2 linked regions of the Drosophila melanogaster genome follow. The protein of the gene in region 1 interacts with the protein of each later gene in a pairwise test. Each region holds a gene or a part of one and is shown in the gene's direction. Other genes may lie near its edges. The genes, in order: CG6230 and SCCRO3.

Evidence for each region.
Region 2: the proteins of CG6230 (region 1) and SCCRO3 interact in a two-hybrid assay, tested with the Drosophila melanogaster proteins (one large-scale study listed by BioGRID).

The regions. Positions count from the first base shown.
Region 1 is NT_033779.5:11,114,835-11,121,863, reverse strand, and holds CG6230 (uncharacterized protein), read left to right. Parts: upstream 1-1,544; 5' UTR 1,545-1,692; coding exon 1,693-3,723; intron 3,724-3,788; coding exon 3,789-4,698; intron 4,699-4,757; coding exon 4,758-4,954; intron 4,955-5,019; coding exon 5,020-5,162; intron 5,163-5,222; coding exon 5,223-5,355; intron 5,356-5,409; coding exon 5,410-5,553; intron 5,554-5,608; coding exon 5,609-5,728; 3' UTR 5,729-6,108; coding exon of another isoform or gene 6,109-6,204; 3' UTR 6,205-6,229; downstream 6,230-7,029. Other genes in the region: Dnaaf4 (dynein axonemal assembly factor 4), read left to right, coding at 279-445, 566-1,121; Gr32a (gustatory receptor 32a), read right to left, coding at 6,109-6,204, 6,279-6,368, 6,426-6,488, 6,545-7,029.
Region 2 is NT_033778.4:12,933,457-12,938,420, reverse strand, and holds SCCRO3 (squamous cell carcinoma-related oncogene 3), read left to right. Parts: upstream 1-1,885; 5' UTR 1,886-2,467; coding exon 2,468-2,642; intron 2,643-2,720; coding exon 2,721-2,858; intron 2,859-2,921; coding exon 2,922-3,255; intron 3,256-3,311; coding exon 3,312-3,669; 3' UTR 3,670-4,187; downstream 4,188-4,964. Other genes in the region: CG30487 (uncharacterized protein), read left to right, coding at 151-747; CG17019 (uncharacterized protein), read left to right, coding at 4,683-4,750, 4,823-4,964. UniProt on the Drosophila melanogaster protein: Promotes neddylation of cullin components of SCF-type E3 ubiquitin ligase complexes and thus regulates SCF-type complex activity. Function promotes cell proliferation.

The DNA.
Region 1 (7,029 bases):
ACAACCAATCATTGTTTGGTCGATGGGAAACGCAGTCGGTTTGTTTCGGTGGTTCGAAGCCCGGTTAATATTCAAATTAAATCGAGGGGGAATACGACCAATATGCGCTGCAAGTGAACAGCCGACGGGTAGTTGGCCCTGTCGTAGTTGTCGTCGTAGAGTCCCCAGTTCCGGCCAGCTCAAAAACATAAGTTCCTTCCTATTGTCAGTCGCAGACCAGCAGCAGAAGAACCACGGCCATAGCAGCGCAAACGAACAGGGAAGCCAAGCAACTCATCATGGTACAGATTTCGCAGACAGAGGAGGACATCAAGATCTCCATCGAACTCAATCGTCTGGTAACCCGCAAGCCGGACGTTGTTCTCCTTCCGCAGTACTTAAAGTTCAACAATCCACCCATCTTCTTTGAGCGTCATCTGGCCCAGGAGATCGACGAGATGGCCAGGTGAGTTAGTAGAGTTTAATAAGTATAAGATTATTTCAGCTTCAGCGAGGTGTTGGGATGAGGATTAAAGCATTTCTGTAATTTGGGACACATATATTAATGGAGTAACTATCTTTACAGCTTTTGTCGCATTTTTAAGAACGAAGCCCGCATTGTGCTGGTTAAGAAAGAGAAGGGCTTATGGCCTGAGATGTTCCAGAAGCTGGACAAGGAGGCACTCATGCAGAAGCGCCTAGAGATCGCCGACCTCATCGTGGAGCGCAACAAGAAGCGGGATGAAAAGGCACTGGAACGTTACGATAACAAGCGGCGGGCGGAGATCCAGAAGGAGATCCAGCGGGAGACAGATATGCGCGAGCGTGTGAAGCAGTTCCAGGAGAACTCGGTGCGCGAAGCTCTGGTAGTGGATGTACGCAAGGAGGCGAAAGCTACGCCCAAGCCAGATACACTGCAGTATCCGCCATCGTCGGGAGGCGCCAGTCGCCTGGCCACGCCCCTCATGCGTCCGCCCATGAGCTCCGTTCGTGGCAGCGGACGGATCAACGTAAACTTCACCACACAGCACAAGCGGGTCACGCCGAAGCGGGAGTCGCAGGCCGCTATGGAGAAGGCATATGCCGCCGCCGGTGGACCCAATGCGAATGTCCAGTCGCCGATGGAGAGCGTCGATGAATAAGCGTTACATGTCAATTAGCGCGTGCGTGCGAGACTGTGCTAATATTCCTATTTTATTATTGCATCAAATAAATCTACAGGTGTTTGTTTAGTTGAATCAGCACTTTAGATGGTTTTAATTTCATGGTTCGGGAAAGTAAAACTTTGCACTACAGTAAGTATTATTAATTAAAATTTATTAAGCTATACAAAATTATTTTAAAGACGATCCTGGTCTAAGTAAAACAGAAGCTGTTTCCCAAAAATATAATGGTTAATAAAATATTTACATACTTTGTACATATGGTATTAATATATTATGCTAAATTTTTGGGGGTTTGTGTGAATTTAATGTGCTGACAACAAAATGAATTTGAATTTAAAAATCCGATAACATATCGCTGACACTGGATTTCCAACACTAAGTCGGCGCTATCGATAGCATAAGACAAACAGCTGGTGCCTGTCAACGTTGCTTGAATTTTCACAATTTTTTTTTGCCGCTATGACATTACAACTATAAAAAGTGCTTTAGATTTTCTAAAAACCTCACACAGGAAACGCGCTGCAGTAGGAGTACCCACCTGAAACCGATGACCGAGGCAGCTGGAGCAACCAACCCAGGAGGAGCCGCCGGAGACGCGGAATCGTACGGCAAAGAAATGGCTCTGCAGTCCGGTAGGCCGAAAGAGCCAACCAAGTTGGACGACCTGGTGCAATATGTGAGCCTCCATGTTCGCATACCCACGCCGTTGACCGGTGTTGTGCTGCCCTTTGTGCCACTTTACCTGTCGGCATTCTACCTGTGGATCAACGTTACGGGTGGACAGGAGAATGATACCACCAATAACGATGTGATAACTGCCGATAACCAAACGACCACGGATAATATAACAACTTGGAATGACGTGGGATTCATCGGCGTACTAGCCATTGCCTTTCTGCACATTCTGACGCTGCTCTTCTGCTACTGGAGCGTTCACGTGCTGGCCTTCCTCACTTGCCGTCGTGTAAAGCTCCCCGGCGCCAATGTGCTGGCCAAAGTCGTACCCACTCCCAACAATGGCAACTCGAAGATCGTCCCCATTCGGTCCTCCAAGCTGGAGGATGGCTCAACACAGTATTATTTCGTTTTCCAAAAGACCAAATACGTTTGGAATGAGGATCGGAAGACATTCCGCGCCGTCGAATTCCCGGTAAATGGACTACTGAGCACCTATTCCTCATCTAGAGGTTTGGAAACTGAGGAGGACATTAAGCGGGCTACTCAAACCTACGGAAATAACGAAATGGAAATGGTGGTTCCTGAGTTCCACGAACTTTTCATAGAACGCGCCACTGCGCCGTTCTTCGTGTTCCAAGTGTTCTCCGTGGGACTGTGGTGCATGGACGACTACTGGTACTATTCCCTGTTCACGCTTTTCATGCTAATTGCCTTCGAGTGCACTATTGTTAAGCAGCAGCTGCGGAACATGTCCGAGATCCGAAAAATGGGCAACAAGCCCTACCTGATATACGCCTTTCGTCAAAACAAGTGGCGTCACCTTGGATCCGACGAGCTGCTACCCGGGGATTTGGTGTCGATAACGCGGTCCCAAAACGACAACATAGTGCCCTGCGATCTGGTCATTCTTCGAGGCTCTTGCATTGTGGATGAATCAATGCTCACTGGCGAATCAGTGCCACTAATGAAGGAGTCATTGGAATCCTTAGACAATTTGGACGTTGAAATGGACGCCGAAGGAGATGGAAAGCTGTTTGTGCTGTTTGGTGGCACCAAAGTAGTCCAGCATACTGCCCCGACGAAAGAATCGCTTCGAGCTCCTGACGGTGGTTGCATCGGCTATGTTATCCGTACTGGATTTAACACATCCCAGGGCAAACTACTGCGGACAATCCTGTTCGGCGCAAATCGCGCAACGGAGAACAATGTGGAGACCTTTGCTTTTATCGCTTTCCTTATGGTATTTGCCGTAGCCGCAGCATCTTATGTGTGGGTTAAGGGCAGCGAAGACCCGGAGCGCAATCGCTACAAACTTTTCCTGGAGTGTACGCTCATCCTCACGTCCATAATTCCGCCGGATTTGCCCATCGAGCTGACCTTGGCGGTAAACACATCACTGATCCAGCTAACAAAGTTGTTCGTGTTCTGTACAGAACCCTTTCGGATTCCATTCGCGGGAAAAGTGCAGATTTGCTGCTTCGACAAGACGGGGACACTGACCACGGATAATCTGATGGTGGAAGGTATTGCAGGATTGGCTCCCAATGGGGCTTGTGTCCCCATTGAGAAGGCGGAGGGAAATACGGTTCAAGTGCTCGCCTGTTGCCATTCATTGGCTCTGCTTGATGACGGATTGGTAGGAGATCCACTTGAGAAAGCCACTCTAGCAGCTGTAGATTGGACGCTTACCAAGATGGACAGCGTCATCCCAAAGCGACCACAGTTTAAGCCATTGAAGATCATTCAGCGCTATCACTTTTCATCGGCACTTAAGAGAATGTCTGTGCTAGCTGGTCATCTAATTCCGTACTCCAATGAGGTTAAACACATAGGAGCCGTAAAGGGAGCTCCTGAGGTCATTCAAAAGATGCTGCGCGAGGTGCCCGCGGACTATGAGAAGGTATCTAATTCGAATCTTATTGTTATATAAGTTTATATCAATTTTCAACAAAATTTTATTTTAAGGTGTATTTGGAATACGCTCGTCGTGGAGCACGCGTACTGGCTTTGGGAATTAAGGATCTTGGGACCCTGGGCGCTCAAAGAGTTAGGGAAATGAAGCGTGAGGAAGTGGAGTGTGACCTGACATTCGCCGGATTCTTGATTATTTCATGTCCCATGAAGCCCGATTCCAAATCTGTGATCAAGGAGCTTATTCAATCCTCACACAAGGTGGTCATGATTACGGGCGACAGCCCGCTCACCGCCTGTCATGTGGCCCGCGAACTGCGCTTCACCCGTAAAAAGCTGATCATTCTCACCCCGCCCGAGGAGGATCGTAAGAACAACTGGAGCTGGGTATCTATTGACGGGGATCAAAGCTACGAACTGGACACTAAGCCTGGTAGCAAAAAGCTTTCCCATTTGCTAGCCACACATGATCTCTGCATTACCGGAGAGGGATTGCAGTATCTGCAACAGAATCAGCCGCAATATATGCGCCAACTACTGCCACAGATTACGGTCTGTGCGAGGTTCGCACCCAAGCAAAAGGAGCTCGTAATCACACAGTTAAAGCAGCTGGGTTACTGCACGTTGATGTGCGGCGACGGCACCAACGATGTGGGTGCCCTTAAGCACGCCAACGTGGGCGTCTCCCTGCTGACCAGCGCTCCAGTGAAGCGCAAACGCACCGAGGAGGAACAGCAGCAGGCGGCGGCCAATGCAGCTGCAATAGCAGCTCAGGCACAAGCCAATGCCAATCAACAGTTGACGACCAGGGAGCGGGCATTGCGTCGGCGCCAGGAGCATCTCAATCAGACACAGGCTCGCCTCCAAAACGCACTCCGCGACATGGAAGAGCAAACTATGGTCAAGTTGGGTGATGCCTCTATAGCGGCGCCATTCACCAGCAAGTCTTCGTCAATTATGTGCGGTGGGTATCATTGAATTATTGTTTATGTTCCTTTCGACTTAATGTGTTCTAATTTTTAGTTAACCACATCATTAAGCAGGGTCGTTGCACGCTGGTCACCACACTCCAAATGTTCAAGATCCTTGCTCTGAACGCCCTCATTCAAGCCTACTGTCAGTCCGTGCTCTATATTGATGGAATAAAATTCAGCGATACCCAAGCCACCATGCAGGGTATTTTCATTGCCGCCTGCTTCCTCTTTATCACACGAGCTAAGGTAAGTAAAACAGCGCTTTAATTTTATTAGAACAATTTAAAGTATTGTATTTGTTTTTTATGTAGCCGCTGAAAACTCTATCCAAGGTAGCTCCACTGCCAAATATCTTCAACTTCTACACGATATCGACCATTCTCAGTCAGTTTGCTGTGCATTTCGGAACGCTCTACTACCTGACCAGCCAAGCCAACATTTTGGCACCGCCTAGGTGTGTTTGGCTAGAACATTATGAAAAGAAAAGCATTTGAATTGATAATTTGTTTTGCAGAGAGGGCAAAGTGAAGTTGTACATTGATATGGATGCCGAGGAGAAGACCAAATACGATCCAAATATTGTTAGCAGCACGGTGTACATAATTTGCCTATCATTACAAGTCGCTACCATTGCGGTGAATTACAAGGTACGCTCCCAGACATATCGTGCAACGCAGAATACTAAACTTAAACTTACGTAGGGCTATCCGTTCATGGAGAGCTTGCGCTCCAATCGCATGCTGATGTATGCCATCGGAGCCTCCGCTGCACTGGTCATTCTTCTGTCCACGGGACTGGCGCCCGAACTGACGGAATTCTTTGAGATAATTGACTTCCCAACGGATGTAAGTACTTGAGTATATTTTATTGTTATAATGTATATAATGTTATCATTTTCAGTTCCGTAAAACTTTGCTCGGCGTCCTGGTCCTAGATATTGTAGGGGCTTTTCTTTTGGACCGTATTTGCTCATTCCTGTTCGGGGAAACGCGTCGCAAATCTAAAGTGCTGAACTGTTAGGACCATTTTATACTAAATACTAGAAAAGTAATGTGAAAGCAGGCGCAAGCCGTACGTTCCACTAGAGAAACCCCTTTCGTTTTTATTTGTACCCCCATAATGATGAATAACAAAACGTAATATTATGGCGTCGGTTTCATAAATATTGAAATTCTTCATCTAAGAATCAACATAATGCATTTAAGGTGTATTATCAGGCAAGTGTATTATCGGGCATCCTATATCATTTTATTTTGACAAATTGAGATCTTTCGATTTTTTCGACTCTCCCGTATATGCGATTAGTGAAATTGTCGTAATATTTGTAATGCTAATAAAAATAGAGAAAAGTTCGAAAGCCGCGATGCATATTTATCAAATACTTTTGATATAGGTTACATTTAAGTTTGTTCTGGTACAGGATCCTCTACTTTCGAGTCTTCGAGCTGTTTGAACTGAATCAAGATTACCAAGTATGTTGTGACGGCCGAAAATATCTGAAAATAAACAGCAAATACACAGAACTTGCAGTACATCCCATTAATAAATAAGGGATACGTGGATTATATACCTTGAATAGTGTGGAGTTATCTATCGCAAAAAATCCATATGCCGTGAATTGCACCTCCTGTTTAATGCTCTTCGTAAGGAACTTATCAATCTGGTAATGAAACCCTTAGCTAATCACTTTGATTCATTTCGTTTTTCAATAACTTACGATATTCTGATACTCCTTCGACTTGGCATACACCCTTGCAAGAATTTGGGATGTGGCATTGGCCTTGAAATAAAAACACTCATGAATATTGAGATCTTATCTCCGATGTAGTTGCTCACCTCCGTGGTGGTCAGACCACAGCTGCGTGACAGCAAAGCCAGCAGGGAAACGTGGAGACATAACCAGGCGAAGCACCACTGCAATATGTTTGGTGAAACCATGCCCTTGCCGGTAATCTGGACAAAGAGGTTGTAGCAGTTGGTGGTGACCGTGTAAAAGGAGTAGCCCAGAAACGAGACCAGAATCAAGTTGCAGCAATCGTTGATGCCCTTGTAGATACGCAGCAGTTTGTTGTGCATGCGGTATATGAATAGCGAGTCTTCCGGGAAATGTTCCATTAGAGCAGGATTGACATTGGGATTGACGTCACCACGCTGCCGCCTCGCTCGTGCTCCACCTTCTTTGCGCCTATGCTGCTGCCCATAGGTGTAACCATTTAGCAGCTGGTTGATGAAATGAAACCGGATGTACACAATCCTGAGCAAAGCCGATGCGAATACTATATATGTGGCGGTCAGACCGTTCTGGATGCCATAGAAGGCCA
Region 2 (4,964 bases), on another chromosome or scaffold:
GATGGAAATTCTTGAATCGATCTGAAAGGAATCCAAGGCGAGATGAGTAGGCTGTTCATTATACTTGCCATTCCTTTCCATCACACATCTCAAGATTCTCAAAATTAGGTCACACACATAAGCGCCAACAATTCTTTACAATTAAAAAGCATGTCTATAGAAAAAATCTCCTCCGAGCTGCGTAAGATGATAATATCTGACAATCCAATCGAAGCAACAACTTTCGATAAATCTGCAATAGAGGCAACTTTGGATTCCAACAAATTCGAAGATCTACGAATTCCGAAGCATACACTGAAGCAAAAGTTTCTTCTTCGAAAGTCAATAATTGAACATCCCTTTAAAAGAATTCGTGCCGAAGGAGTGGATTGGGCTCACAAAATTCGAGACACCGACGAAGAGAAGGAATCTAATTGGGCAAAGATTGCGACTGGAAAGGTTTCTGGCAATGCCTACGATCTTAAAACCATGATGAGCGAGTGTGAAAATATTTGTGGTTACGGAAACGCCATAAACTTGACGGTCCCAAGGGTGGACAAACTACAGGATCTGGCTAAATCGATCCCAACGGATCCCGATACAGTCTACCTGACCTGTCAATGTGATGATATTTTCTCTAATGGAGGCACAGAAGCTCCGACTCAAAGCCCCGACGAAGTTAATTTCGAAGAGCTGTCCAGCTACTTCGAAAATATGCTCAACATACCCAAGAATCTTCCGCTCAGCGCTGAAATAATGTATACTTAATGATTGGAACGGTGTGTGTATTGTTATATTTAGAGTAAAAAAAGATATAAATCATTTTAGTTTACGGTTTTCTCATTTTAGATGTGGTGATGTTAGGTTTGGATCCCTATATATGCATATACATATGTACAATGTATGTATCAGATCGACTGATTTCCGTTTTGGTGTTACTGGTACCAAATGTAGACGGGGTTTTCGTACTTCTTGTCTTACTCCACTTTTTAATGTGCTTATTGTGTGGGGCTGGCCAATTAAAATAAGCCCGAAGATGAGCCAAATTCCTAAGCCTAAGCATATTGCCCTTTTTCCCAGCACTTGTACTAACGTTCACACGTTTCGAATTAATAATCCAAAAAAGAAAAAGAAAAGTGTAGCCGCCGCGAAGAATCACAGGCCCACGACACACGCACACAAGAAAACATTACCCATTTACTGCGCACGACGGAGTTTGGCTTACATACCAACGACCAACTACCAAGTTCACTCAACCTTGTTGGCTGGTTTTCGAATTGCCCAAAACAACCGAAAATCGAGACAGTCAACCATTTACTTATTTACCACGGGTACACACACTCACTTATTACCAGTTAGTTGTCCCGGTTCAAGACGACTTTTCAAATGCAGGATTTCAAATTGGATTTTCCCACTCCGGGCAGCTTGACACTTTTCTTTTTAGCCAAACGAACCGAAAGTTTTCATCTGCGATCGGTAGAATATGCACGTTCCGAAAGCCGTTACCCGGAAGCACTTTCTACCGCTCCGACTGCATGTTGTTGAATGAAATTGTTAGCTTTGCTCAAACTCGGCGCTCACATTACGCACAGTGGTCGAGAAAATGATAGATGCTGCTTAGACGGCAACTAAATATTTTAATGGGAAAAATTATGTATGCTAATGTTTTGTTTTAAATTTCTTAACCAATAAAGTAATATAAAGAATATAAATTAATAAAAACATTGTATTGAACGTATTGGTTCAATAATCGTATTTGAATATAGAATAATTTGTACGAAAATATTTAAGGTGTGAACTACTGTGCGGAATCAACTTGTATGTCCTACTGTGACTCTCTTCGACGATAGGGTGTTGCCAGACTGAAGTTGCTACGACTATCGCATCAACTAACGTAGAGCACTGCAGCCCTGGTTGACTAGTGCCGCCCTGGTCCGATTGCCAGAAAAAAACAAGACAAGTGAAAAAGCGAGATAAATCAAATTAAAAATATTGTAAAAAATTGTAGTTAAACACGCGCTGGAGCACGGTGAACTGAAAATGTGAATGAAAACCATCAATAGAGAGAGACGAGCGCGATTTGGTGGCACCAAATGCTGCAGTTGCAACCTGCACATGTATGTGTATACGCGTGAGTGTGCGTTTGCGTAGGAGGCACCAAAATAACAACAGCAATCGCAGTGACAACAAAGAATCGGAATCGGAATCGTACTTGTTTGTACTCGCACAGGACGTACTTGGAATCGGAATCGGAATAGCCACTACCATATGCCAGAGGAGGGAATCGCAGTGCCAATGCATAGTTAATAAATTTCCCAGAAGCTATACGACCAGCAGACCTCAATTGCAATTGCACGCCCCTTGACAAATCACAGTGTCTCAGCCAAAACGAAACTGGAAGCCATCGAGTGCTCCCGTTAAGCAAGCAACTGCAGGCGGAGCACGGGGGAGGAGTAGGACCTGGTGGTGCACCAAGCACGCCCGCACTATGGGCAATTGCCTGAAATGCTTCCAGTCTGCCGCCGAACAATCGATGCCAACGAACGCCTCGTCCCCCAATTCACACAATTCCAATTCCAACGCCTGCCAGACGGCCACCAGCCTTGCAAATTGCTACGAATCGGTGGGCATTAATCCCAATGCCAACGAGCGCTGCGCCTTAGGTGGGTATTCTATAGTTAATAACCGCATTGTGATCCAAAGTCTAAGAAACCTCTCTTATTCCGGCTTATGCACTCTAGAAACCGATGAACTGCTCTCTAGCCGAACTCCACTCAAGCCAGCAAAAGCAAACAATTGTGATACTAAGCGTAATAGTTTTAAGTCTTTAGGTTTGCTTAATGGCAGTGCGCCCACCATGAGCGATATCATAACAACTGGTGAGTCAGCGTTCATTCGACTGCCTTGGCGGCATACTCATTCGATTTTCTATATTCTAATAGCTGTCCAGGAATCGATGGAGGTATCGCACCAAACGCTGAGCAAACTATTCGATGTGTACAAAGATCCCGACGACGAGGAGATGATACTCACGGACGGCATCGAGCGACTATGCAATGACCTCAACTATCAGCCCGATGAGTTCGCAATTCTCGTCTTGGCCTGGTGCCTGGATGCCTCGCAGATGTGCCGCTTCACCAAGGTGGAGTTCATTGAGGGTCTGCATAAGATGAGGGCGGACACAATAGACAGTATCCGGGTGCGGCTGGAGCAGACAATCGAGATGCTCAAGGCGGACGCCGAGATGTTCAAGCAGTTATACCGCTTTACATTCCGGTATGCCGTTCTTACTGCTTGGAAGATCAGTACCTAATTAGCGTCTCAAATTTCAGATTTGGTCTGGAGCCCGATCAGCGCGTCCTCTCTCTGGAGATGGCTATTGACCTGTGGAAACTTGTGTTCACTGTACAAACACCTGATCTCTTCTCCAACTGGATACACTTCCTCGAAAAGCACCCGAATATTCGCCGCATACCGAAGGATACATGGAACATGTACCTCAATTTTACGGAACAATGTGATATACAAAATTACGATGATACCGAAGCGTGGCCCAGCCTCTTCGACGACTTTGTCGACTACGAGAAAAGCCGGGCGCTGGTTTCCTCGGGCATCCACGACGATGACAACAACAACGACGATCCCCTACAGAGCCACGTGAAGGCCGAGGATCCGGGTCTTGTGTCATAGTAGCCAGTCTCCAGTCTCTTCAGGGCCAAGCAACATTCAACTCGCCAATAGAAATTAAAGAATGTACATTTTCATCTATACTGACCACTCGCTCTCTCTAGCTGCTGCTTAAGATCCCCTGTGAAAGTAGAAAACTTTAAACACCCGTGGCCACTGAAAACGAACGATGCGGTGCTGGCGCTGCTTGAGGACGGACTCTCCAACTGCCATCATTAGCCAGCTCTTATTATGGCTGGCCAACATTCTGGCCGGAGCAACAACGGACGCATTTGTTTATGTAATTAAAGACTTATCGACAAGAATTTTGGAAAAGCTCAATCATCGGAAACCACATGTGTATATAACTAATTGACTTGAAGGCGGAGCAGAAGGTAGACCGTATAATATTTAGCAATTAATTGATGTATTATTTTAAACAAAATTGCAACATTTTATGGCACTTAACTATTTAAATGCATACAATTACATACTTAACTGTAAGTAGTGGATGTGAATTAAATAAAACCAACTAAAAGATTAAACTGCTTAATTGGATTTGTTAATTATGGCATGGCGTATTTAGTTTGATATACCAGTAAATTAACTTAACATAATAGTTGCTTTAAAATGGGGGGATGTATTCAAATCAACCGCCAATTGCATGGCCTATCGATATTCATATCTGCAGATTGGACCGATAGGAATGCCTCCATGCAACCGTGAGACTAGTACATTAAATTGCTATTTTGGTTGGCCTGATAAAATTATAAAAATCATCGCAAACGCAGTCAGCTGGGTATGATTAAGTGTTGAGTGCACCTCCGCGCTCTTGAACAAATCCCCACCAGGTGGAAATGATAGCCGTGTGCAGGGCATTCTTTATCCAGTGATTCACGGCGTTGACATTGAAAAACAAACGCAATGCCAGCACAGTGGGCGTGAGCAGGCGGAAGGGGTGTAATCGCCAGGAAGGGCAAGGATTCAGTGCAAGGACACGGTCGATAGGAGCAGCTGGCCAGTGTCCAACGACCACGATGCCCTGCGAAAGTTGCGGTGTGGAATTCACGGTGTTCCGTCGCAAGCGTGCTTGCTTCGACTGCAAGTGAGTAATGGCCTGTTCATTTGGTTTTCACGGATTTCGGGGATTCATCGATATTTTGTAAACCTCCATTAGACGCTACTACTGTGCCAACTGCATTGCATCCAGGCGGTGCAAACGATGCTCTGTATTCGCTCAGCGACCACTGTCAAGGACAGATCTATTAAAGCTCAAGCCCAAGGACCTGATTTTCTATCTGCAGTCCAAACACATCTCC